Linked DNA regions of Drosophila melanogaster. The protein of the gene in region 2 interacts with the protein of the main gene of each other region in a pairwise test. Each region holds a gene or a part of one and is shown on either strand. Other genes may lie near its edges.

Region 1 (3,252 bases), about 12 Mb from region 2:
TATCTGCGGGTCCTTCACATCCCTGGCCAGCGTATCGAGCACATATTGTGTTCGCTTTCGCATGAAAATGTGCTGCGCCTGGGCGATGATCTGTTCGAGTATGGTCTGTGACTTGGTCATGTCCAACAACGTTTCCCGATCGGCGGCCATCGGACCGGCTAGCATGCGCTTCTTAGTGGGTCCCAGTGGTGCACTGGCCGGATGGGGAAAGGGATGGTGTGAGTTCTTGTAGTGCACCTCGCGCAGAAGCTGATGCAGCGAGTGTTCCAGAACATGATCATGATCGTTAATTGGCGCCGGCTGGCTGGAATCGAAGGTGGTTGAGTGGCACAACGAGATAATAAGTTGAATGTTAGGCAGCAGAGTGGCGCGAATTTGGTTGCCGATGACCACATGTGGAATTGGTGCCTGCAATTGGATAGCTTCACGTGCCAACTGAGCGAATAGCTCCTTGCAGAAGAGCACATTCTGGGCGAACTCCAGTGTCTTCTGCCAGACACCCACCTGGGCAGTTATATTGGGTCCGTGACCCATCAGATTCAGCTGAGCGGTGCACAAATCCTCCTGATCCTTCTGTGTGATCACCTTTATGTAGGCGACACCCTGCAGTTCCGCTGGAACAATCACTCGCAATGCGGAGCTGGCCTTAAGTTGCATGCCATTGTTGCCGGATACGCTACTGCTACTGTTGGATGAGCTGGCTGTGTCCTCATCACCGGTCTCTTCTGCTTTGGTCACCTCGAAGGTACCGCTCATGCCAAACTTGGAGCCCGCGGTGCGGTAGCTGAGATCCCCGATAATCGCATTGGACACCTTCTTCAGGCGCCAGTTCTGTCGCAGGCGCAGTAGTTCTATGTGGAAATCTGAGACATTGCGATTGCGCTGCTCGCTGTGCGCGTTCCGCAGGCGTTCAGCGCCACTTAGGAGCACTTGGGCTGCCTGAGAGATGGCTTTCTTGCGGCTGTACACCTGCACAATGGGCTTGGTGTCGTCAGCCTCCTCGAGCAGTGGATCGAGCACTAAATAGCGCTTGTCCTTGGCAATGGAGATCACATCGGACAGCACACATATCTCCGTGAGCGCATCCTTCAGCTTGTTGCGCACCGCATCCCAGGGCCACAGGCTCTCTTGGAACTGAGTGGCGTCCTTGTCCTCGTCGGCGGCCGCTGCCGCCGACTTCTCCTCCTTCTTGAGGTCGTCCAGCGACGTCTTGCTGAAGTCTATGCGCGCCGCACATTTCGCCAGACTTTCCGACAAAGTCGGCGGCCTAAGGAGAAAAAAACAAAGAACCCAATAAATCATTGAGAAGAGGGCTTGCTGGCTAGCGGAAACACATACGGCTGATACAATTCGGTGCCATCGTAGCCAATCTCACGTATCTGGTTCTCGCAAGTCGTTTCCACTGATATATTCACGGAATTCGACATATTTGCGCCGGGAAACAAAACATTTGGTTTGTCAAAGCAAAACTAAAGAATAGTGCTGCAAAACGTCTGCGGCCGGCTATCGATAAATGAGTGCTCAAAAACAACACTTTTTTCCAGGTTAGTAACGAATGTAATGTATAAAATATTGATATTTAAAAATGTTTAATATTTAATTAATATGTGTTATAAAATTACTTTCTTGCTTTAAATTAAGTTTTATTTATTTAAGACAAAACTTTGAAATTTAATGGCTTGGCCACGTGCTTATATTCATTTATATGCGAAGTATAAGTAGGCAGCAGTCAAAAAAATGTCCTTAAATGTAAATAAAATTTGTTTACCTTAAACAACGAAGTTATCTCTTTTGATTTTTGAACCGCACTTTTATTAAGCTCCTTGCCAGAGTTGCCACCCAGTGTCAATTGGTAAACACACCAACACTGGAATCATTACTTTCATATTTTTGACTTGACTTGAATTAGCATCTTCAACTCATTCCGGACACCAAGAGATTTAACCCAATTATGCTGTTTCTAAAGGACAAGCGTACCACTCTGGACGTAGCAGAGCACACAGTAATCATACCGAGCATTTGCGTGGGAAACGCGGCGCAGCTGGCCTGTGACCTGTTGATTGCGTCCAAGGAACTCCGGCGAATTGGATCCATCACACATCCAGCCCTGATTCCGGTCTACGGACCCTCCGCCTATCAGCACGAGCCCAAAGAGAAGGTCTCCTCCTGCGAACTGTACGAGGGTACGGAGGATAAGCTACTGGTCGTGCAATTCCGGGCGCCATGGGTTGCCCGCCACACCGCGCATTTTCAGAAGGAACTAGTGGAGCTCCTCAAGGGCGCCAGACGCGTAGTCATTCTAAGCGGCAGTTTCGGCTTCGAGAAACGAGTCATTGAGGAGTCGCCATGGGCATACCGCGCCAGCGAAAACTTCAAGGAAGCGCATGCTGCCCAGCTGGGCAATGAGGAGCTGATCAAGTGGAAGGAGCACAAGGGCGATGCCATCTATGGCGGCGGCAATGCCTTGCAGTTGTTTAAAGCCTTCGATGAGCAGAAGGTGCCCGTCATGCTGTTATTCCGCTATCTCCTCGAGGGCGACAACTCCACCGATGCATCTCTAATCGTCCGGGAACTGAACGAACTCTGCGAAGACTTCCTTCAGCTGCGCAACGGAGGCGATGGCAGTTTTAAGCTCACCGTGCCCAAGTCCTGGAACCTACTATTCGGCAATGATGTTACGGAACTTCTTTTTTAAGCGTCTACATGTATTTTTCGGTGCTTTCAAATAAATGTTAATCTTTTGGTGTAGGATAAAAGATATTGCTAGCTGTGTGCTCCCGAAAGAACTCTCTGCCATGCTCCTGGTGGTCCTGACGCGTGGTCAGCGTCTGACCGAAGGTGGGCTCTCCTGCGTGCACACATGCTCCCAGCCAGGCGCTTAAAGTTGGCTCATCCGACTCGTAGATGGCGAACTTTGATTGAAACGGTCGCATTTCCATGAGCTCCTTGATTAGTCGCTCCTTGAGACCCTTGAATTGGGCACAACCGCCGGTTAGGTACACGTGCTCAACCAGGCGCTGCTGCTCAGCGGCGGGAAATAGCTTCAGCACGAATGCTATTAGTTCTGCTAGCCCCGCCTCTGAGCAACCAATCATGCTGGGCTGGAATAGAACCTCCGGCACGCGAATGTTCTCAACCCCAAAGTGCAGCTGGTAGTTCTCGGCGGCACTCTGTGGCGGAACATTGGAGTTGCCATCGGTGTTGGCATCATAGTGATTTAGGATCTTATCGAACTGCATCAACTTTTCGTTA
Region 2 (8,061 bases):
GATCAGTATAAAGTTCTTTGACGATCCGGCACAGCATGATCTGAAGCTGAAGTTCTACTATCTAATGATTCAGTTGAACAGAGACACCTCCTTCCTGAATACTTCGCGCCATTATCAGGCCATAGCGGAGCCTCCGCGCAAGAAGACTGGCCTTACACCCGTAGACTCTGCCGCGTCCACGGATGAGCAAAAAAAGAAGGATGACGATAAGAAAAAGAAGGAGGAAGATGACAAGGATAAGAAGCCAGAGGTTGCTACAGAGGCTGAGGTCGAAATTGAACTTACCGAGGAGCAGAAGAAGGAACTGACGGAAAAGCTGGTTTGTGCCGTGCTTTATTGCGTTTTAGCTCCCTTCGACAACGAACAGAGCGACATGATGGCACATCTTTCGAAGAACAAGAAGCTGGAGGAAGTGCCCGCCTATAAGTAAGTACATTTGATTTGAAGTACATTTCGAGCATGTTATTTTATTTTCGATTTAAAAGGGAAATTCTGCGCTTGTTCATGTCAAAGGAGCTGATCAACTTCGACACATTTAATGCAGACTTTGGGCTCGTGTTGGCTGAAAACGAGATGTTCAAGGATAGCACCAAGCATGGCAAGAAATGTATCACCGAGCTTAAGGATCGTCTGATAGAGCATGTAGGTTTTTTTTGATTTAAATCAATACTAATAATAACTAATTGCTACTGGTTATTTCATAGAACATTCGCATCATTGCCATGTATTACTCCCGCCTGCATTTGGCGCGCATGAGTGAGCTGCTGAACCTGCCCACCAGCCGCTGCGAGGAGTATCTTTCTAAACTGGCCAACACCGACACCATCCGCGTAAAGATCGACCGTCCCGCCGGCATCATTTACTTCACCCAAAAAAAGAGCGCCTCCGACATCCTGAACAACTGGGCCACCGACGTCAACCAGCTGATGTCCCTGGTCAACAAGACCTGCCACTTGATTAACAAGGAAGAGTGCGTCTACTCCGTCATGTGTGCTGTCGAGGATTAATCCTGTTCCATAGGTGCTTAGAATAGTGTTTCCCCCTTGAAGCGCCTATCCACACGCAACTGTAATTGTACTAACCCCTAACCATCAACATTTCGATTCTCTTCGTGAAGTTTGTATTCATTGAATGAACTACAATTATTAAATGAATCCCCCCATTAAATCTCCATGCAATTCAGTGCAGTTTTTGCCAGTCACTGGTGATTTCCGGCGGTATTTTACAACACTTTTGGGGGTGTGTGCAGAGTGCTTCTTCTTATCCAGGGAAGTCAACATGGGCGTAGATCTAAAAAAATGACTAAAATTGAATTTAAGTGTCCAATAAAAGTATACAAGTTTATGAAAAGTTTATTAGCTTTTCACCAAGGGGAAATGTCTGGGCTGTAGTATATAGTGTAGTATTTTCTATTACCCAGCTGTCATGGTAAAGTATTTTTCTCAAATGGGTCAGAATCATCCCCTTGCAACTTTTAACGGCGTCACTGGATGCTTGTTATTCTTGTTAATTGTGCCATAGCAAACCTCACATTTTGCAAATTTGTTTGAAATCGGTATTGTTGTTACTTAAGAATGCCAAAAGAAGATTGCAAATACTGGGATAAGTGCTATCAGCAGAATCCCGCACATTTGTCCAAATACAATCATCCGAAAAAGCAACAAGAACACGAAGTGGACGGCGCAGAAGGCAAAAAAGTGGCGCCAAAAAGAAGTGCATCCTCGCAGTCTGGTGAACAGAAAAAGGAAGAACAAACGGAGCCGGTGAACAAGGATAAGTCCAATACGAGTGCTTCAAGTACGGAGATGGTGAACAAGGATACAGCCAAGGGCAGTTATGAAGCCGAAACCGAGGAGCTTCACAAAGAGGCCATGAGCAACATATCCGGAAAGAACTACATGGAGATCTTGGAGAAGCGCATCCGCCTGTCCGTGCAGAAGGAGTACGACAATCTCTGCGAGTCCAACGAGTTCATTCGACACAAGTTCCTTGTCGAAATGCCGCCGGACTTCTACGAATTTTGGAAGTTTGTGGGAAGCTTAAAAATTGATCCTGCGAAGCCCAAGGATGCTGGCTTGGAGCACCTAGACAAAGTATTTCAACTGCAGTTGGTGGGTCCCTTTGAGTTCCTAGCCGGTAAATTTCACGGCGCCAAACTAGGCGAACCGGGAGACTACCTGCGCCACTGGCGTTTTTACTACGATCCACCAGAATTTCAGACGATCTTCGTGCGCCGAGGCACTGGGATTCACTACGGTTACTGGCGCGATGTGCCGCAGGACAAGGAAAATCTCTTAATAGCCCGCAACGACTCTGCGAAAGGCTGCCAGTTCCAATTCGTCGCTGGAAATGCCTTCGATGCTTTCCTCTACTACCTGGAGCACGATTTTGCGGCCACTCCGTTCTCATGCGGGCAGTTGGCGGGGACCAAAAAGGCGGTGGCAAAATACCTGAGTGACAATTCCCTAGAACTGGCCCAGCTGGACCGACTGCAGCGGGAGCGCAACAAGCGTGTTGTGGCCAAGACATTCCACCGAGCCGGCATTGTTGTGCCCTTTGACCAGAAGACAGAAGTGGGATACCGCCCGCTGGCTGTCAGCGATTCCGAACTCAAGAAGATGCTGGCAATGCTTGAGCGGAAGGACGTCGATAATGGAGCCGCCAAGCAGGCGGTTCTGGAGAAGCTGCAGCCGGTGGCCAACGCAGCCAACATAGCAGTTGATGAATCGGACTTTGGAAGCGCCCTGGAACTAGGCATCGATATGTTCTGCAGTGGGCACAAGGAGCTGCACATGCTTGCCTCATCGTTGCTGGTACCCGCCTATTCAATGCTTTCCCGTCCACAGTTCATAGCCATCGCCAAGGCGCACATGGAGCAACGTAGTCGGGAGGACAACCTCAGCATTTTTGATGTACTTAAGTAGTTCGATTTTTATTCCGCAACCGTATCATTTTTACAAGCATTAAAACTAGGAAGTTGAGCACAGCCAAAAGTAGTTTCACATGTACAAATAAGAGCTCTCCTTCCGCGGAGGGATGTAGCTCGAGCTGCAGGCAACGCCCGCGGCTTTAAGTACCTTGATCACTGGCTGCGCAGCTGTGGCGTCGAGGGGCAGCTTGTCGGTGTAAATAACGAAAGAGGTAACAGGCAATTCCATCTGATCCCGCCAACTGGCAACTGCAAAAAAAGGTGAACAGATGGTGAGGTGATTCAACCTTCTCCTTTTCCACTCATCACTCACCGCCTGCTGCAACTCCAGCGATAAAGTTGGGAGCCTCTAGTTCAGTGATATCCTTCTGGTTGGCACCTATGCCGCGGACAACGGCAATGTGATCCCGGTAGAGCTGGATGTCCTCGCTTTTGAACTCGACCTTTGGCTTAAGCGTCAGAGTGATCACTTTCTTGGCAAGCTTCACGTACGGCAGTAGGAGCTCCGCTACCTCGCCGCTACTGGTCAGGTCCTCGTTGATTATGGCCAGCAACTGTTTGGACGAATGACTCCAGTGCAGGGTCGAGTTATTGGCAGGAATGGCGCACACACGCTTTGCATCCTTTTCCAGCAGAGAAGAGGCGAAGTGAGTGACGTTGACGCCCTCAATGACCACCAGCATCTCGCTCTCCACAGGGGCAGCTTCCCCATCGCAATCATCATCAAACTTCAGCTGCAGCCTGCGAATCCAAGAAATTAGGACTACCTACGTAAATAACATTAGATCACGCACTTCTCCACCGGCTTAAGGTTCTCCAATTCATCCTCGTCGCAGTCGTCCCAGAAGGCACGCGACGAGGGTATATTTAGTTCTCCAAATCCTGGACAGCTCATCGTGTCTGTTTTGATTTAATAAAAAAGGTGAAACTAATATGATGAGCCTAATTCCGGTCACTATGTTTTTTTCAAGTCATCAGTGTGACCATGTGCTGAACGCCAAAATAAACGTTTTTCTATTTGAATAAATTACATTTGCAGGTAATATTTAGGAACTTTTAGCGCTTTTTCTGAACTTATTAGGGCTTGGCATGTCAATTAAAGATTTAACAATAAGCTAATTCCAAAATTATGTATTGACAATATTGTTTGGGGGTTTTGAGAATTGATGGAAGTTACGCCCACTGAGCAAGGGAGAAATCAAACTTCAATTGTTAGTTCTAGTCGAATATTAAAACAAATGTGGTTCCAGCTTATTGGTTTTGCCTGATTAAATATTTTCGACTCTTCCGTTTTTTTTTAAGTTGAAACAAAAAATTCCGCACAGGTTAATAAAAATACCAGATCAGCATCGCAGCAGAAGCAGCGCTCAAGCACGGTCATACTGAATACAAAAAATGCAAGATGCAGGTCCATATTCGAATTGGAAAACCACTTTGATCGCTAATTAGAAACAGATTAAGAACCTCACGTCGGTGAAAATATTCCGTAGGGCAGCGCGCTAGGACAGGTCTCAAATTTTTTGGTTAGCAGTGGGAGCAAGCGCGCAAACCAGCGCCATGAGAAAGCGAAGCTCACGTTGTAACTCTGACACTTTCAAGGAGGAGCAGATGGACCACAACGGTGACGACATCAGCCTGCTGCAGCGGCCGCTGCGCACCGCCCACACGGGATTCGAGGAGGCCCGTCGGGCCTATGAGGATGGCACCAGCGAGGTGAGTCTCATCTGAGTGGAGTACGTGACTCAATTGTGGCCCGCAATGGCGGAGGCTCCTGCGCCCCAGTTTGGTGGATCCCCGGATAACAATCAGATTCTCCCACAGGTGCGCCAGCTGCTCAGTCTGGAGTGCAGCCTGATCTACGAGTGCAAGGTGTGCCGCAACATGTTTCGCAGCCTGGCCAATTTCATCAGCCACAAACGCGTCTTTTGCTGCGTCAGCGCTCGTTCGGCAAATGGCAGCGGATACACAGTGAGTGGGCAGTAAAGACAACCCCATTACAAGGTCTCTAATACCATAGGATGTCAACTAATCGCTGTTAATTCTCCCCCAGGATCAGAATTCCACTATGATCATACAAACGGGTGGTGGTCCGTCCCCGCAGGACATTGAACATATGCTACGCAGCAGAAGCACGGGATGCTCGCCTGTTCCCCGCGACGTGCGTCCCTTACGAGGAGGAGGTGGCGGCGGCATAAGGGACCTGAGTGGTGTTATAGAGCGTCTGCGACGGGAAAAGGCTACATCACAGGCCAAGTGCAGCTCGCCCACTGTTCTGCAGCTGGAGTCTGTGCCCAACTCTAGCCAGGCTGTTTATCAGACCATCAAAGTGGACCACGACGACAGCATAAGGACAGAACTGGACGAGGTGCATCGCATGCTTAATCCATCTGAAACCATTGTGGGACCCGACGGCAAGGCCTTGGCAACCGTTAAGCTGGAAAACAATGCAGGCAGCGACTCCGGCGAGCAGTCCATCAGCGACGAAACGGAGCCGAGTATTTTCTGCGAGATCTGTACGACTACCTAACCGAATAGGCCTTGAATACAATTAGTGATAGCTGTGTTTCCTAATCTCGTTCACAGGCAATCTGACGTTTCAGACGCACAAAACGCTTGAGGTGCACATTCAGAAGCATCACTCATCATCGGCGTTTGTGTTTCAGTGCCCAGCCTGTTCGCTGACCTTTCTGCAGGCCGCTGCTGTTATTCGTCATTTGTCGAAGGATCACAAGTAAGTTCAACTTAACCCGACCATAGAATTTTTATATTTTATTATTATAAAATATATGATATTATTCTACTTCAAGGGGACAGGTTCCTTTTTTCTTTCACATGGTCCATTTATATCTGCTTACTGCATACTGCATTCCTTATACATATATGTATATGTCAAAAATCATATTGTTTCCAAGGAAACAATCTAATTTACTTTCTATTTATGTGAATTTTTTAAGCCCTGAATCATAAAAACAGAACAACTAATAATCATAAATAAAAATATAACAGATACATTTTTATAGGGATAGTGGTTTTTCTAAAAATTATACATGCAATGTGTGAACTAATATTAATGTTGGTCCTTTTGCAATTTAATTTTTCAGGAAGCCAACTCGACGTATTCGAATGATGCGGAACACTATCCTCAAGCGACGCATTCAGCAAGGAGATGTGCAGCCGAAGGGCCCCTGCCGGGAGTTGAAGCGCCTACAGCTCTCCGACGACGTGGTGGGCTATGTCCCTGAGCCACTAGATGCCAGCGGTGAGCACCGTAAGATCATGTCTTTGTGTATCTATTGCGAAAAATCATTCGAGCGTCGCGCTGCCTTGTCAACACACCTGCTTAATTGTCGGGCGAAGCAGGAGGCGCTGGCTAAGCCTGCTCCTTCTGTCAAAAAACTGAAGATGAAGAGCAATGATTCCAGTGTGGATGCAGCTGATGAGGATCCAACGACGTCCATAGACCTGCCGAAAAAAAAACCGATCAAAACCGAGGAAATTACTCTGAATGAGATGTTTGCCGATCTACCAGAGCCGAACGACTCATTTGCACCTGGTCTGCACACAGTGTCATTGGACCAGCTTAACTTAGGCAATGTAAGTGACTCTGCTAGTGACGAAGCCTCTAACACCGACGACGAGCACGAGCTAACACCAGGGGCCGGACCTGAATCCAATGCCGATGCAGAAGATGTCAAGGGTAAGGCCAAGAAGAAACGTAACGTCCCAGTTGAGAAGCAGCTGCGATGTCGCTGTAAGATCTGTCACAAGCAGTTCAATGCCCTCGGGAACCTACGTCGTCACATATCCATGTTTCATTACCGCGCACGCCGTTTTGGCTGTAACCTGTGTGAATATCGCGCATTTAGGCGCTACGATATTGTAAATCATTTGGGATTTACTCATAAGATAGAAGGAGACCGAGACCAGCTGACGGAGCAATATGTGTCCACCCACGAGTGCGAGTACTCTCGAGACGATGTCGACGGAGATATAATTTTGCTGGATAAGGAGGAGGAGCTTACAGTGATGGAGAAGGATGCTAAACCCCCTATCAAAACCTACGAAAGACGCTTGAAGCATCTCAAAACCCTAACAGAATCTGTAGGTGAAGTGCAACCCAAATCTCCAACAGCCGCGATAAAAGAAGAACCCGGACAGGAGCCTCTGGAGGGTACTCCCACGCCCAGCAAAAAGCGTCGCAAGTCTCGTACCCAAATCTCACCCGAATCTGGAGAACATTCCCAGGAGAAGCGTCCCATCCGTAAGCGAGTTAAAGCGGTTAACAAGGACTTCGTCTACGACTTGGTCAGTTTCAAACCGGATGGATCATGCCAGCAACCTCCGGGTGCGCAAGCCGTAGAATCCATGCGGGCCAAACTGCGTCGTCCCGCGCCGGTGGGCAACGATGAAAGTAAGGCCAAACAGTACGAAGCATACATTACGGAAGAGAAAAAGCATCTTGTGTTCGGCATCACACGGCGCATAATGCTGGAACTGGTGAGCCAGGGTCTGGCGGTGTCTGCTACTCTGCCAGAATTGCCCTCAGAGCGACCGCAGATACGACCGCGTCTTATCTCGCACTCGCGCAGCGAAAGCGGATCGCAGCAAAAGCAAAATATTGTAGAAACTACAGTGGATCCTGCTCCGGAAACCGAGAGTTTCATCGAGAAGATTGCGAAGCGAACGGCAGCTGCTGGCAAGGATAACGCTGTCATCAGCAACCTGTGGAACAAGGTCAACACTGCGATTGCCCAGCAGGAGAAGCAGCAGAAGAAGGAACAGGAGCCGCTTCAAGAGGCTCAGCCAGAGGAAAAGTCGGAAACAGAAAAATCAAAGAGCCCTCTGCAAGCGCCATCGCCACCGTCACCGCCCAGCATATGCGAAGCCACCGTTCCCGAAACGCTGGCGACCACTGGTATGGATTGCCTGCGAGGAAAGGGCAGTCAAGCGGGAGCTTCGACAGTGTTTCCGTCCCTGCCCAAGCCGCCATCCGTTTTGCAGGCGGCTGCCAATGGGACCATACAGTTCACTCTGGACAGTCTTCTACGAGCCGCTCTGCAGAACTAAACGGAACCGGAAATGGAAGTCACCGCCACCATCATCGTTTCTACTTTCACAGCTTTCGGTTGTCT
Region 3 (3,414 bases), on a different chromosome or scaffold from region 2:
ATGCTTTAAACTAACCAAATTATTCATAACAAAAACTTTTTTCTGAAATATGGTGGTATAGATTAGTCTAAATGGCTTTTAAACAATTTTGAATTGAAATGCGTCATTTGGTAACGCCTAAAAATCGCTCAACTGAAGCCGCATAATAATAATTGATAATTATTTTTATTCGTTCTTTGTATGGCCCAAAGTAACAGGAAAAATAAATTATGTTCCATTAAAAAGGGGCAAACGCTGAAACACATAATTAGAAATAGCTCATTTAGTTCTCCCCTCCTTTCACTGCTAATTGCCATTGCGAGTAAAAGGGCTTGCCACTTTAAATTAAAGTTTAAATGTCACTGAACTAAAAAGCTCCCTCTGGCCAACTTTTTCCCGCACAGATGTGCGTTTTCCTGCTCGCTGTATATCCTGTGGAAATGGAATCGACTCCCCAACGACGACTGCCATCAACTGCAGCAGTTTAATTGCAAATTGCAGGGAAGTCGCCTGGTCGAGCAATTACAAAATGCTAGAGTGGGCCGGCGGAATTAAATCAAATCTCTAAGAGGACATGATAACTGAGGGGCAAACCTGTTTAAGCATACCTCTACACCTAGAGAAATAGTAAAATAACGAGCTTTTATTGTAAAATGTTAATAATCTTAGGCCTTAACGAAAAAGGTGTAGTTAAAACCTTTTATGAAATACAGTAATATAACAAATTGAACAAAACTTAAGATGCCTTAATCGCAATTGTAGTTTCCATAAAAAGTTCGATCGATGAATTTCCCTCAGTGCACGCATGTTTTCCAATTTTGCTCGGGCATAAAGACATTTTCATGGGACAGCTTGTTGCACCCACGGCAGGAAAGCGACACTGAAAATGCATTTTCCAAGAGCGGTACTCATCATGCCCCGCCCATCGTCCTCCGGTGATGCATATAAGTCGTAACTATCCCCACTCCCACCTGAGGCACCTGGATCACCTGCACCATCATCGTCTTCATCATCGGACTTGTCTGTAGCACTTGTGCTGCGTTTCTATTTCTATTTCCATCCTCACCGGCATCCTTTCCATCCTTTAGCAACTTCCGCAAGGGTGACGCTCAGCATGGTGTGATTATGCACTAAGAAAAAATTGTCCAACATTTCAAGATCTGAGAAAATATGCATGTTTTCCTATAGTATATAGGATTGAATGAATGAGGACAATCAAAAACTTTTATAATAAACCATCTCAAAATCTCAAAATAAGTTTTTGTATTTCCTTCCTCATTTTTTCCAGTGCATGTCGTGGTGTAGGGGTTTTTTGTGGGAGATGGTGAGTGACTTCCCTTCCGCTTGCGTAGGTGTTTCGCTCGTGGCCATCTTTTGGCCTCAGTTTACCATTTTTCTTCATCTTTTGTGAGCGCTGATGAATTCGTTAGACGCCACCCCCCCCCCCCCTTTTATCCACAACCCACCACCACCCACATTTCCCAACCCCCAATGCCAACCCGCCCATGGTCGCACCTTTGGGGCAATCGTGCGCAGGTTGTAAACAACAGGCGGGGTAAAAGAATGGAAACAAAAACCGCAATAAGTGAACATTTCAGTGCCGCATCCTTGACGTCAGTGGCAGCAGGAAACTGCGGGAAAATCAGGGAAAAGCTGGAGAAAAGCATCAGGAGATGAAGCCGCCAGAAGCCGCAGGAATGCAAACCGATGACATACCGGAAGGAAAGCCACAGGAATCCATTGGTTTTGTAAGATTTCCATTCCGGAGGTTGAGCGAAAATGTTTATGAGAATCAAAAGCAAACAATTAAAATTCAAGGAATCATCGTTTGATGTTTAAATGTTTCGAAAAGCATTAAATGTCATTTGCTACGCTCTAACAAAATAAAATGGCCTGGTTAACTAAAATAATCATTATATTTATCCTTTTGCTACACACTCAATTGACTCAACTGATACAGTATATTGACGATGGTGACACATTTGATGGCTTTAACTCCATATTTGAAAAGCCAAAGAAGCAACGAAGCGGTGCCATGGAGGACGATTTCGATCGAGATCGGGATCAGTGGAAGGTCAATACCGACATGGACTCGCAATCGGGCATATGTCCCGCCGAAAATCCGAATGATGTGAAGTATGAAAAGAAGGATCGCTGCAAGGTTGACAGGAAGATGGTCAAGGACGAGGACGATGACGAGAATGCCGATCCTGCGGGCAATAGTGATGACGATGATATCCATGATGGTGATGAAGACAATGGCGATGATGAGGCTTATGAAGAGGAGGACGACGACATTAGTTTTGAGGATGAAGCTTTTGTTTCGAGAATTAACTGTTTGTTGGGATCTCTGCACAAGCACACCAAAGCCATAACCGATAATCTGCAGATCCTTCAATCCCGCTTGTCAAAAGCGAAAAATGACAACATATGCAGAAACAACAACCAAGGCACTACGCCTACGGAACATCCTAGTCTGAAATGGTCCAAGAAGCCGGATTTCTATGAGGCAACCGAGCTGTGTGCTGATGACAACTGCCATTTCGAGGACAGTGTGGATAACAAAGAGGTCCAGCCACAAGCTTTTACTGAGGATCGTCGAGTGATGGTTCCGCCTCTATTGCAACTCTTCCATGGTCCTGTCCAGCTGCAAACCACTTTGAACAGCGGCCAGGACATCACGGGATCAAAGTCGAGATATTGGATGACCTCACCGGAAACATCAGAGGAGTTTCAGGCTTCATCGCAATTACAGCCGGATGAAAAAAATCAAGAACGATACGAGGATTACGATGCTAAATTGCGTCGCCTCATGGACAGTCGGGATGAGATCGAGCGAAATGTGATGAGAATGATAACTCCGGATTTATAAAATAAATATTGTATGAATATTAATACTTAAAGAGACCCTACAATAAAGAATAAAACCATTTGTATGTACTCTTGCTTTAAATATGTTCACAACTTTTAAAAAATATATTAATACTATATGAAATGTGTAATCCAAGTACGCCAGCCCTTCTTCTGCCAAATGTTTCAGCCGCTTTTACTCATTCCGACTATAGTCAGCACTCCGACAACTTATCGAAAATGACTTCCGTCGCTTTACTGGTGATAATCTACATTTCCATTGTGATTTTCGGGCGCTGTCAAGTGGACGGACGACGTCCACCAAAGAAACCGACCTTCTACGACTACGATGATGAATCGGACATGTTTGAAAAGATGACGGACCAGGACTATGAGGTCCAGTCGAACTGTCGCAAAGGCCAAGATGTGGACGCCATGGACGAGGTACTGGACACCAGTGACTTGGATTTGAACCCAGATTACCGCATGGGCAAGAATATGGCACGTTCACAGCGCAAGTCGCACCACAAGTTTCCCGATTCGTGGGCCATGTTGGTCAAGGAGGGAAAGGAGGAAATGCAGCTG
Region 4 (8,906 bases), on a different chromosome or scaffold from region 2:
AATTCTCTGCACATTCTTTGTAACCGAGTGCTCAGTACTAGCCACATTAATGGAATATTTCCTTGGAATGCCCAAGTCATTTAAATTTCAGCAATAACTACCAATTCAAAAGAGTACTTTACTTACTTAGGAAGCATATAGTAACATTCAAATAACATATCTTAATGGATTCAATATTTACATACACATAAGATTTATTTACATCACAGCGGTATCAGATAGTCCGCACATTTGGCCCCATTTTATATATCGCTTTGTTTTGCGAACTCCGTTTAAACTTTTTCCTATGTATTCCTTACTCAATTTCCCATTTTCCATTTTCTCTGCCCACTCCGTTGCGTTTCGCCGTTTATTTTCCGAGCTCAGAACAATTGAAAATCGTTTTCGCCCACATCGCACTGGCCGACAAGGGCAATTGGAGCTGCGAAGCTGCTGATGGAAGTCTGCATAGTAAATCCTTCGATTTGATTGTGTACCGTAAGTGGTGGAGTCGCTGGCGGGCATGAGGTCAGTCATTAATATTGCATTGTTTTCCCTCCTCGCACACACACACACACACACACACACACGCACGCACAGAGAAAATTACATTCACGGAAAATGCCACCGTGATGACGGTCAAGGAGGGCGAGAAGGCCACCATCCTGTGCGAGGTGAAGGGCGAGCCCCAGCCGAATGTCACCTGGCACTTCAATGGACAGCCCATCAGTGCCGGCGGTAAGAATACCATCCCCCCACCTCCCTCGATAATGAGCATTTTGCATTCCAATCTGCTCCACCACCATCACCATCAGCCAACTGGCAAATGCCGAACCCGACTGCCACTACATATCTGCCCTTTTCCACCTTCTCCATTCCGCGTGTGCAGCGGCCGACGACTCCAAGTTCCGCATCCTGGCCGATGGTTTGCTCATCAACAAGGTAACACAGAATGACACCGGCGAGTACGCGTGCCGGGCATACCAAGTCAACTCGATTGCTTCCGATATGCAGGAGCGCACCGTTTTGATGAAAATCGAACGTGAGTATGATTTACGATTTCCAAAACGTAGAAAACTGATCCACAGTGGGAACCTACTTTGAAATTTGGGTTGCCAAGTCGTGATTATTTAAAAAAAAGCCCTTCCATTTTACTAGTGTGTACAATTTCCTTGAATAATACATTGTAAATTATATCAAACTTAAAGTTGAGCATAACATTTTTGATCCTACCAAGTCCCAGTGTGCAAAGTGGTGGGGTAAACAGTCGAAATTACTTGAGCACCGTTTTGTTCCAAATTTCGAGTTGGCGCTTAGTATGCAGCGCAGTGAGCGGTAAATAGTTTTTGAGCACGAAAAATTCTGGAATTACACTCGCGGCATGCCTTTGATGCTTTTGATGGATCCCAATGTCGACCGGTGTTCCTGATGTGTGGCCAGTGGGCGTACGAGTGCCAGTGCGAGTGGGCGTGGCGCACATGCAGCTAATGGCTTAACTTGGCCGGGTCCTGATTTATGGTTAGCGCACATGGTTTTTCCATTTCCATGGCCTACCTTTAAGCGCTGCCGCGGTTTCAGCTGTCTCCTGCGGCGCTATGCATGCTCATTTCGATTTTAGGCACTTTTAATTGCCTTAAAATGGGAGATAGAACAGAAATCTTCATCAATTTTTTTTTGCTTAAATATTTCGAAACAGTCCCTATTCCTTTTTAAATACTTTAGTTTTTTTTATATCATCCTTGATATTTTCCCCTGTGCAGACAAGCCCATTTGGTCCAAGACTCCATTTGTTAGTCTAAAGTACGCCTACATAAACGGAACTGCGACTCTTATGTGCGAGGCACTGGCGGAACCTCCAGCGAATTTTACATGGTATCGCAAACACAACAAGCTGCACAGCAACAACAGACTGTACACGATCCAGTCGGACAGCTACTGGTCGAGTCTGACCATCCATGTGCTGAACACCAGCGCCTTCGATAACTACAGGTGTCGCGCCAGGAACGATCTGGGCACCATCGAGAGGACCACGCGACTGGAGCAGGGCGAGAAGCCTCCGTCACCGGCCAACTTCCAGCTGCGTGGCTTCAATTCAAACACCTTCGATGTGGTACTGAGTGCTCCACGAGGTCCTCCCGACAGTCCCATGGGGGTCAATGGATTCCGCATCGAGTACATGACCGAAATGGAGTTCAAGACGGATGCGGGCAAGTGGACCAATGCCAGGCGGAAGGATTATGCTTTCGAGGAGGGTGAGTTAAGCTTTAAAATATAGATAAAAGCTATCTCTTGCTACATTCGATATGTAAACTCATGGATTCTATAAATTTTAGGGGCTACCTTCCTTCTGACGAACTTAGAGCCAGATACCGTTTACCTGGTGCGGGCCGCATCACGGAATCTGGCCGGATTCAGTGACTTCACCAAGGTGGAGAAGTACAAGACACTTTCGCTGGAGCCCCGAGTCTCTTCGGGAGTCAAGGAGACCAGAAATATGTGCGTGGAACTGGGTGTGATGACACTAATGGTCCTGATGCGGCCGTTCCTGGGATGAATCTGAATCTGCAGGCGGATGAAGGATGACAGGTGATGCACCTAGCGGAACCGGAAACCAGGACCTTAAACCCCATGTGCTTTGTATAGCTATAAGGCGTGTCCACACGGCGACACTTTTCTGTCTGATTTGCTCGGTCTAAGTAATTTGGTTTACTCTTAAGTTCAGTGCGTTAATGTAACCTTAAAGAATGTTAAGTTTAGTAAGAATTTCTATTACGCTTTCAGTGCTTCGATTTGAATGATATTAGTGGATCACTTATAGGATATTTATATGTATTTAAACAAATCCTCATAGCAGTTAGACATAATCAATGGTTTGCTGGCCTTGGCTCCCCAAAATTATGCAAAACTAAAGCTTTGCTCAACATTCCAGTATATATTTTAACGTGAATTGGAAGTTTTCCCTGCAACTTTGCATCTCGTTGCCAAATCTTTAAGATATAATCAGACAGTTGCCAAAACTAAAAAAGTACATTAGTTTAGTATATACAAACAAATGCCTTCCGTCATTCGATATAACTAACAATCTTTTCAACTAAACTACATAAATATATAAAGTTTTGGAATACCATTAAACGCATCAAACAATTAATATAAATATCAAGGAGCTTAACGACAGCATTTAAAAGTTTTATATGTCACATAATTCTTTTTAATAGTCAAAGGCCAATAAAAACAATTCCACGTGTAAATTTCCAGGGCTAAAAAATACAGAATAAAATATAGATGTAAAAATAAGTTTAAACACTTTGCCACAATACAAATATTATGCAAACGAGAGAAAAACAAACACATATTTTACAAAAGTTATTTATATTCAATAAAATTAAATGTATTTCAGCTAAAGTGGTGTAAAATCTAAACCATAATACCTAGCCAAAGATTTAATATTTTCCAACTTTCGTTTGCCAATTGTGTGTGAGCCATAATAAAAGTTATGAATATCAAACCAGAACCGTTTGTGCTTCGATTTATTGATGTATAAATCAGTAAGTAAATAGAATATAAATATTTTAGTAAAAAAAATGCCTATTAGTTGGCGTAGCTTTTAGTGTTAATTTCTAATATTCGGCTCAAAAATTATATACAAAAAGTACAAAGCATAAAAATGTTGCAAGATGGAAAAACGAGCTCATTATTTTAGTCAGAACTCGAACCAGCCGCTAAATGCAGACTTTAATTTAGAAGATCAAATTATGAGGAATTCACAAAAAATATATAGGTTTAGCTCAGATCCGGGTGAGTAAAGCTTGCTAATAATGAATACATAAAATTAAAATTTTTATTTAGAATACAATAGAGTATATCAGCGGTATATGGCAACCCTCATCCGTGTGCAAAATTCCATGCATAGAAGATTTCAATCCAGGACCACTCTAAAATTGCAGGGCTCACATAGCCGCCTCTCAGCTGGCGGATTCTGTACGAAATTCAATAAATCCGGAAAGGAGAAAAAAAATAAACACAACCAAAGCCACGACCAGCAAAATGATACCTGTAAGCCTTCTTGCTCGAAGCCAACTGATTGCGCCACAAATGATGAACCTTCCTGCCGGGGCAATAAAAGTGCATCCGATAAAAGCCTGAAAATCACCCGCTGTTCCATACCGGAACCCAATAAGTCCCCACGCAGCGATGGACACGAGAACCAGCGTCAGAGCTGTGTGTCCTTTGAAGAGCCCGCGGCCAAGGATATTCCCACATTTGATCTGCACTTCCGGGACACCTCATGTACGGTGTCCCATGATTCCAGCCTGTCCTCCATCAACGTTTGCTATAGCCAAGAGCAACAGAGGGATATTACAAAATCTTGTCCCGCTCAAACGCCGAAAGAGCCAGCCCCTCAACGGATGAAGGAGTCGTCCAGGAATCAAACAGCTTCACGATTTTGCATGAGACCGTTGATTGTGGTGCCCACAGGTGGAGGAATTAAACAATTAAAGAAGGATCAATCTGAGAATTCCAAAATAGTTAGCACAGATCACTCCAAGTCGAAGTCTGCACACCACACGAATAGTTCTCGAAAATCCACAAAGAAGCAAGCAAAGAGTCACCGCCTTATTAAGTCTCACAGCTCTAAAGATTCTTTAGCAAATCGTGGTCAGCCTACAGTGGAAATTGAAGAAACTTTTCCAAATTCAATCTGCACTTCCGATACCCACGAATCCTGTGACTGCAAGAGCGAAGACCAATTTTGCTGTTACTATATACCAGAGGAGCCCCATTGCTCGCAGAATCCACCGCCATGTTCCAACTGCCCGGCTATATGCGACTTATCCAACCAATTGGAGGAGATGAATCGACGTTTGGAGGGCCTTCACAGCCAGGAACTCTGCGATATCCGCACGCAGGTGAATAGCCTCAATGCCAATGTTCAGCATTTGGCCAAAGAGTGCATTCAGAAAATGGATGGCGCCAAAAGGCTGGACAAGAAGACCTCGAGCACCTGTCAGTTCTGTCATGGGCAGTGTTTGAAAATACTTGATAGCTTCTATAGGCAACTGCTGGACTCACTTTGGGATCGTTCCCTGACAGACATAGTAATATCCATATTTCTGCGAGCAGACAATGTCTATCACGTAAATGTGCGGGATCTGAGCTCGGACTGTTCCCTTGGTTGTTACCTGGTCACTGATGCGGCCATAGAGGAGGCCATCGAGTTGGGAGTTTTTCAGAACATACTCACATTTAGTGTAATTGATGTGCGGAATACCATCAAGTCGAAGAACTGCGACTTGGGCATCGTCTTTGAATACCATCATTCAAAGCGGCAGACCGGTGGTTGCGATTCTCCACTTCGTGGCTCCTGCATGGTGGGCAAGGAATATATCGGCAGGGTTCTCGGACTTCCTTTGGAGCAGCTGAAATACCTGTACTCCGTTCCGCGATCCTATACCAAAATCACTGAGCACGACACTAGGAGTGTAACTGGAAGTCAGTTACACTCAGTTTCCACTCAAACGACTTTGATGGATATGCAGACAGAAATGAAGATAAGATATAAGAAAAGTGCCCGTACAAAACTACCATCAGTTTGAAAGATATCAGTTTTAATAATATATAGCAAAAGTTATAGTTAAGCCAACTTACAACGTATTTCTAAAATTTTGTAATAAAAGACCTTATAATTTTAAAAGCCAGCATAGATCAAAGGAAATTCTGATTAGTTTCAATAAAGCTAACCGTACAGGTTGCACTGCCATTTGCACAACCGACGGACCGCATGGCAAATGGTTCATTTGTTCAACGGGCGCGGTTTGTCAATCAGCCACATCAACTGGGGCTCAACTAAGGACCCGCATATGCGCTTTTGGCCGGAATGCCTTTTTGGGGGGGCTTTTTGGGGCAAGGAATAGGAGCACTGCGTTGACAGCCGCATAAATCAGTTGAATGCCAAACGTCGGATTCGGATGCAGATGCGGATGCTGTTGCGTATGCGGATATGCATTGCGACTGGGCGCCATATTGTGCGTGGTGACTTTTATTGCCCGACCGCGCGTTAAATATTTTTCTGTCTACACACATGGACATGGATGCTCCGCTCATCATTGACATTTACCATTGGCCATCGTCATTCGCATCACAATGAGCAGCAATGAGCGTGGCCGTTATTTGGGTGCGGTTCAAAACAATCAGCCCGGCTATTTAATTTCCAAATGAGAGGAGCATTATTCGGCACAGCATGAGTTCAAATCACTTGCCCCATGTGCCCGCCAGCTTTCAATATCAACACTTTAAGTCAACGATTTGAGCGACGACAGCTGAATCAGCAGCGAAGAGAAGAGGACAAATAAATACTGCGAAAAAAAATGCAGAATTCGGCCATTTTAGGCCTGCAACCGCCAATCCGCCAATTCACCAATCCACCGGCAAGTGGGTCAGTTTCGCACGGGCTTTTAGAGCAAATCAACGCGAAATCCGCTCCAGGTCATATGCCACCCGACTCGATGGGGGGGGGGCGAGACCATTCGTGCAATGCAATTTCCATGTCAGCGAAGAGTTTTACCCCTTTTTTTTTCGCCCACATATCTGTTTCCTTTCATTCGGCTTATCGAAAGTTTAGCATTCGGCATTTTTCACTGCAGGCATGAGAGTCAGGCTTTCAATTAAAATCCAAAGCTGTATTTTTACGGGAGCAGATTTAAAATGTTGTGGCTATTGGCCAAACGTTATTTGTCTGTTTATTCACATCACATGTCTTAAGCTGACAATATAAATCCCTTTTCTTACCAAGTAATCAGCATTAACTAAGGAACACACAGCCGTTGGCGATACGAAGTCTTAACAACATTTACCTAGCCATAAATACACACTTAACACGTTTTGTAGACGAGCTGACTTGCATCATTAGGAATTCCATCAGTGCTTCATTATTATCCCCCTTTCCTTTGCCACCAACACAATGTTCCACATTTTCTCCACTTGGTTTTCCTGCGATTTTCCGCTCGTTTGAAGCTGCTTGGCCACGGGGCGGATGCGGATGTCGGTGCGGATATGGGTGCGGATGTGAATGCTTTTGCAACGACCGCACGCCGTGTCAATAAATGAGCGCAAAGCATTAAATTGTAATTTTTTAATTACACACAAAAGATTTAATGACTGCGGTGGTAATAACACACAACAGACGTTGCCACGCCCCCCGGCTGCCCTTGTTACAGCCCTTAATTACATAAAGCCCAGCTAAGAAGACGACTATCCACAGACGGAGATAATAGGAAAATGGCGAAAATTAAATTGTTCTTCTGTGCTCGCCAAGTGGCCAATTAAAGCGAACGGCAAAGAGCAAAATGTCCGGATTTCTTTGCCTCGCCAAGCTGAAGCAACTGGACCTCCAGGGGGTTATGTCCTTTTTCGCACAGATCCTTTTTGCTCCGAGATTTGCGCCCGAGTAGCTGTCTCAGCCTCCACCCCCGCGCCGTTTGCTTAGCAATAAAAATCATTTCCCGCGTTCTAATGATGCCACTGAACAACCAAGGCGGCCAACTAAATTAGCGCCGTCGGCCTTTCAACAGTCGAGAGATACATATATAAATATATACGAGTATATCTGGACATACAGCGCTTCGCTTCGGTTGGAGTCGTAAATAAAAGTTGGTCCACAAACCAACCAACTAATATGCCAGAGTTTGGCGGGGCCACAAATCTTGTGCAAAGTAAATGCATCGGTACTGTTGCCCCCCCTTTTTACACCCCTTTGCCCATTTTCTGCTGGTTTCACTTGCTGTTGCTGAATGTTTTCGTGTGTTTGCTGTTTGTTGCCAACACACTAATTACCGCAATTAATTATGCTGCCTGCGGAGCCAAGTCCGTCCAGCAAAAAGGACCAGCAAAACAGGACCAGCAGCCGGATCAGGATTTGGACCAGGAAAAAAAGGGGAGAGAGCAAAACCAGTACAATTCCCCAATTGTTGGCCCACTTTTTGGCTGCAACTTTAACCCGTGTTTCGGCCTTTTCGTGTGCGGTTTCTAAGCGGTTTTAGCCTTTGTCTCAAAGCGCATATCAAATGATATTGGCCAAATTCACAGGGAATCGCAGAGGAGCAATTTAAATCGTTTAGCCAAACGATAATGATAGCATGTGTTGCTTGTGTTTCAGTAAAAAGCAATTAAACGTTAACAGCTTATTATATTAAAGCCCTTTATGGCAATCTACTTCAGGCGAGTGAGTGAGGTTTAAATAAACATGTTAAATTGTTTCAAAAAGAGGCTGAGGCTGCTACCATGTCTAAATAGGCTTGGTTCCAGCTTAAAATCTATGAAATTTAATAGATGGTTAAATTCTAGTAACTGCAGGGTGTTTTCAAACTATCAGGTACTGAAATAAAACGTCCATTTGCTGAATGCCGAATCACCGAGCGACCATTAAGCAAATCAAAAAATGTCACACAGAAACAATTTCGCAGTGCTCGAGCAAATGGCAAAACATGTTTGAAAATTGAAAATTATGTTTGAAATGCACTCAGCAACAGATGGAGTCTCATAGGTTGGATGAATAAGGATTCGCAGGAGTTGGCAGGACGAGCAGAAGGAGCTGCAGAAACTCCACATTTGTGCCACGTTTGTTTCTGTCAACGCAATGAAGTGCAACATTTTGTATACTGCACACATACTGCGTGTTTTTCTGTGTGTGTTTGTGTGTGTGCCAGTTGGTTTATGCGAATGTTGTGGCAGCACACACACTAAACTATACATATTACAATGTTACATACATAAGCAAGCAAGCAAGCACCTTTGGCAGCAAACTGAAGCCAGCCACTTCATATTGTAAATTTGGTAGAAAATATTTTTAGTGTCGCCAGGATTTCCTGTTTCCATCGTTGTCCTGGCAGGAACTGCCATTGTTGCCCACCTCCTGCTGCCGCCCATCCCTG

Evidence for each region.
Region 1: the proteins of PSMG1 (region 2) and CG12321 interact in a two-hybrid assay, tested with the Drosophila melanogaster proteins (one large-scale study listed by BioGRID).
Region 3: the proteins of PSMG1 (region 2) and CG43996 interact in a two-hybrid assay, tested with the Drosophila melanogaster proteins (one large-scale study listed by BioGRID).
Region 4: the proteins of PSMG1 (region 2) and CG15631 interact in a two-hybrid assay, tested with the Drosophila melanogaster proteins (one large-scale study listed by BioGRID).

The regions. Positions count from the first base shown.
Region 1 is NT_033777.3:18,187,305-18,190,556, reverse strand, and holds CG12321 (uncharacterized protein), read left to right. Parts: upstream 1-1,849; 5' UTR 1,850-1,951; coding exon 1,952-2,695; 3' UTR 2,696-2,732; downstream 2,733-3,252. Other genes in the region: MED17 (mediator complex subunit 17), read right to left, coding at 1-1,267, 1,339-1,427; Arp5 (Actin-related protein 5), read right to left, coding at 2,733-3,252.
Region 2 is NT_033777.3:5,790,399-5,798,459, forward strand, and holds PSMG1 (proteasome assembly chaperone 1), read right to left. Parts: upstream 3,920-8,061; 5' UTR 3,825-3,919; coding exon 3,724-3,824; intron 3,671-3,723; coding exon 3,243-3,670; intron 3,179-3,242; coding exon 3,000-3,178; 3' UTR 2,925-2,999; downstream 1-2,924. Other genes in the region: Rpn5 (regulatory particle non-ATPase 5), read left to right, coding at 1-426, 486-642, 705-1,007; Hpf1 (histone PARylation factor 1), read left to right, coding at 1,575-2,924; CG10979 (uncharacterized protein), read left to right, coding at 4,487-4,642, 4,751-4,897, 4,980-5,442, 5,513-5,660, 6,031-7,996.
Region 3 is NC_004354.4:17,020,457-17,023,870, forward strand, and holds CG43996 (uncharacterized protein), read left to right. Parts: upstream 1-1,847; 5' UTR 1,848-1,867; coding exon 1,868-2,851; 3' UTR 2,852-2,914; downstream 2,915-3,414. Other genes in the region: CG43997 (uncharacterized protein), read left to right, coding at 3,070-3,414.
Region 4 is NT_033779.5:4,729,174-4,738,079, reverse strand, and holds CG15631 (uncharacterized protein), read left to right. Parts: upstream 1-3,621; 5' UTR 3,622-3,653; coding exon 3,654-3,774; intron 3,775-3,825; coding exon 3,826-5,573; 3' UTR 5,574-5,667; downstream 5,668-8,906. Other genes in the region: fipi (factor of interpulse interval), read left to right, coding at 367-477, 580-717, 869-1,021, 1,740-2,231, 2,313-2,533.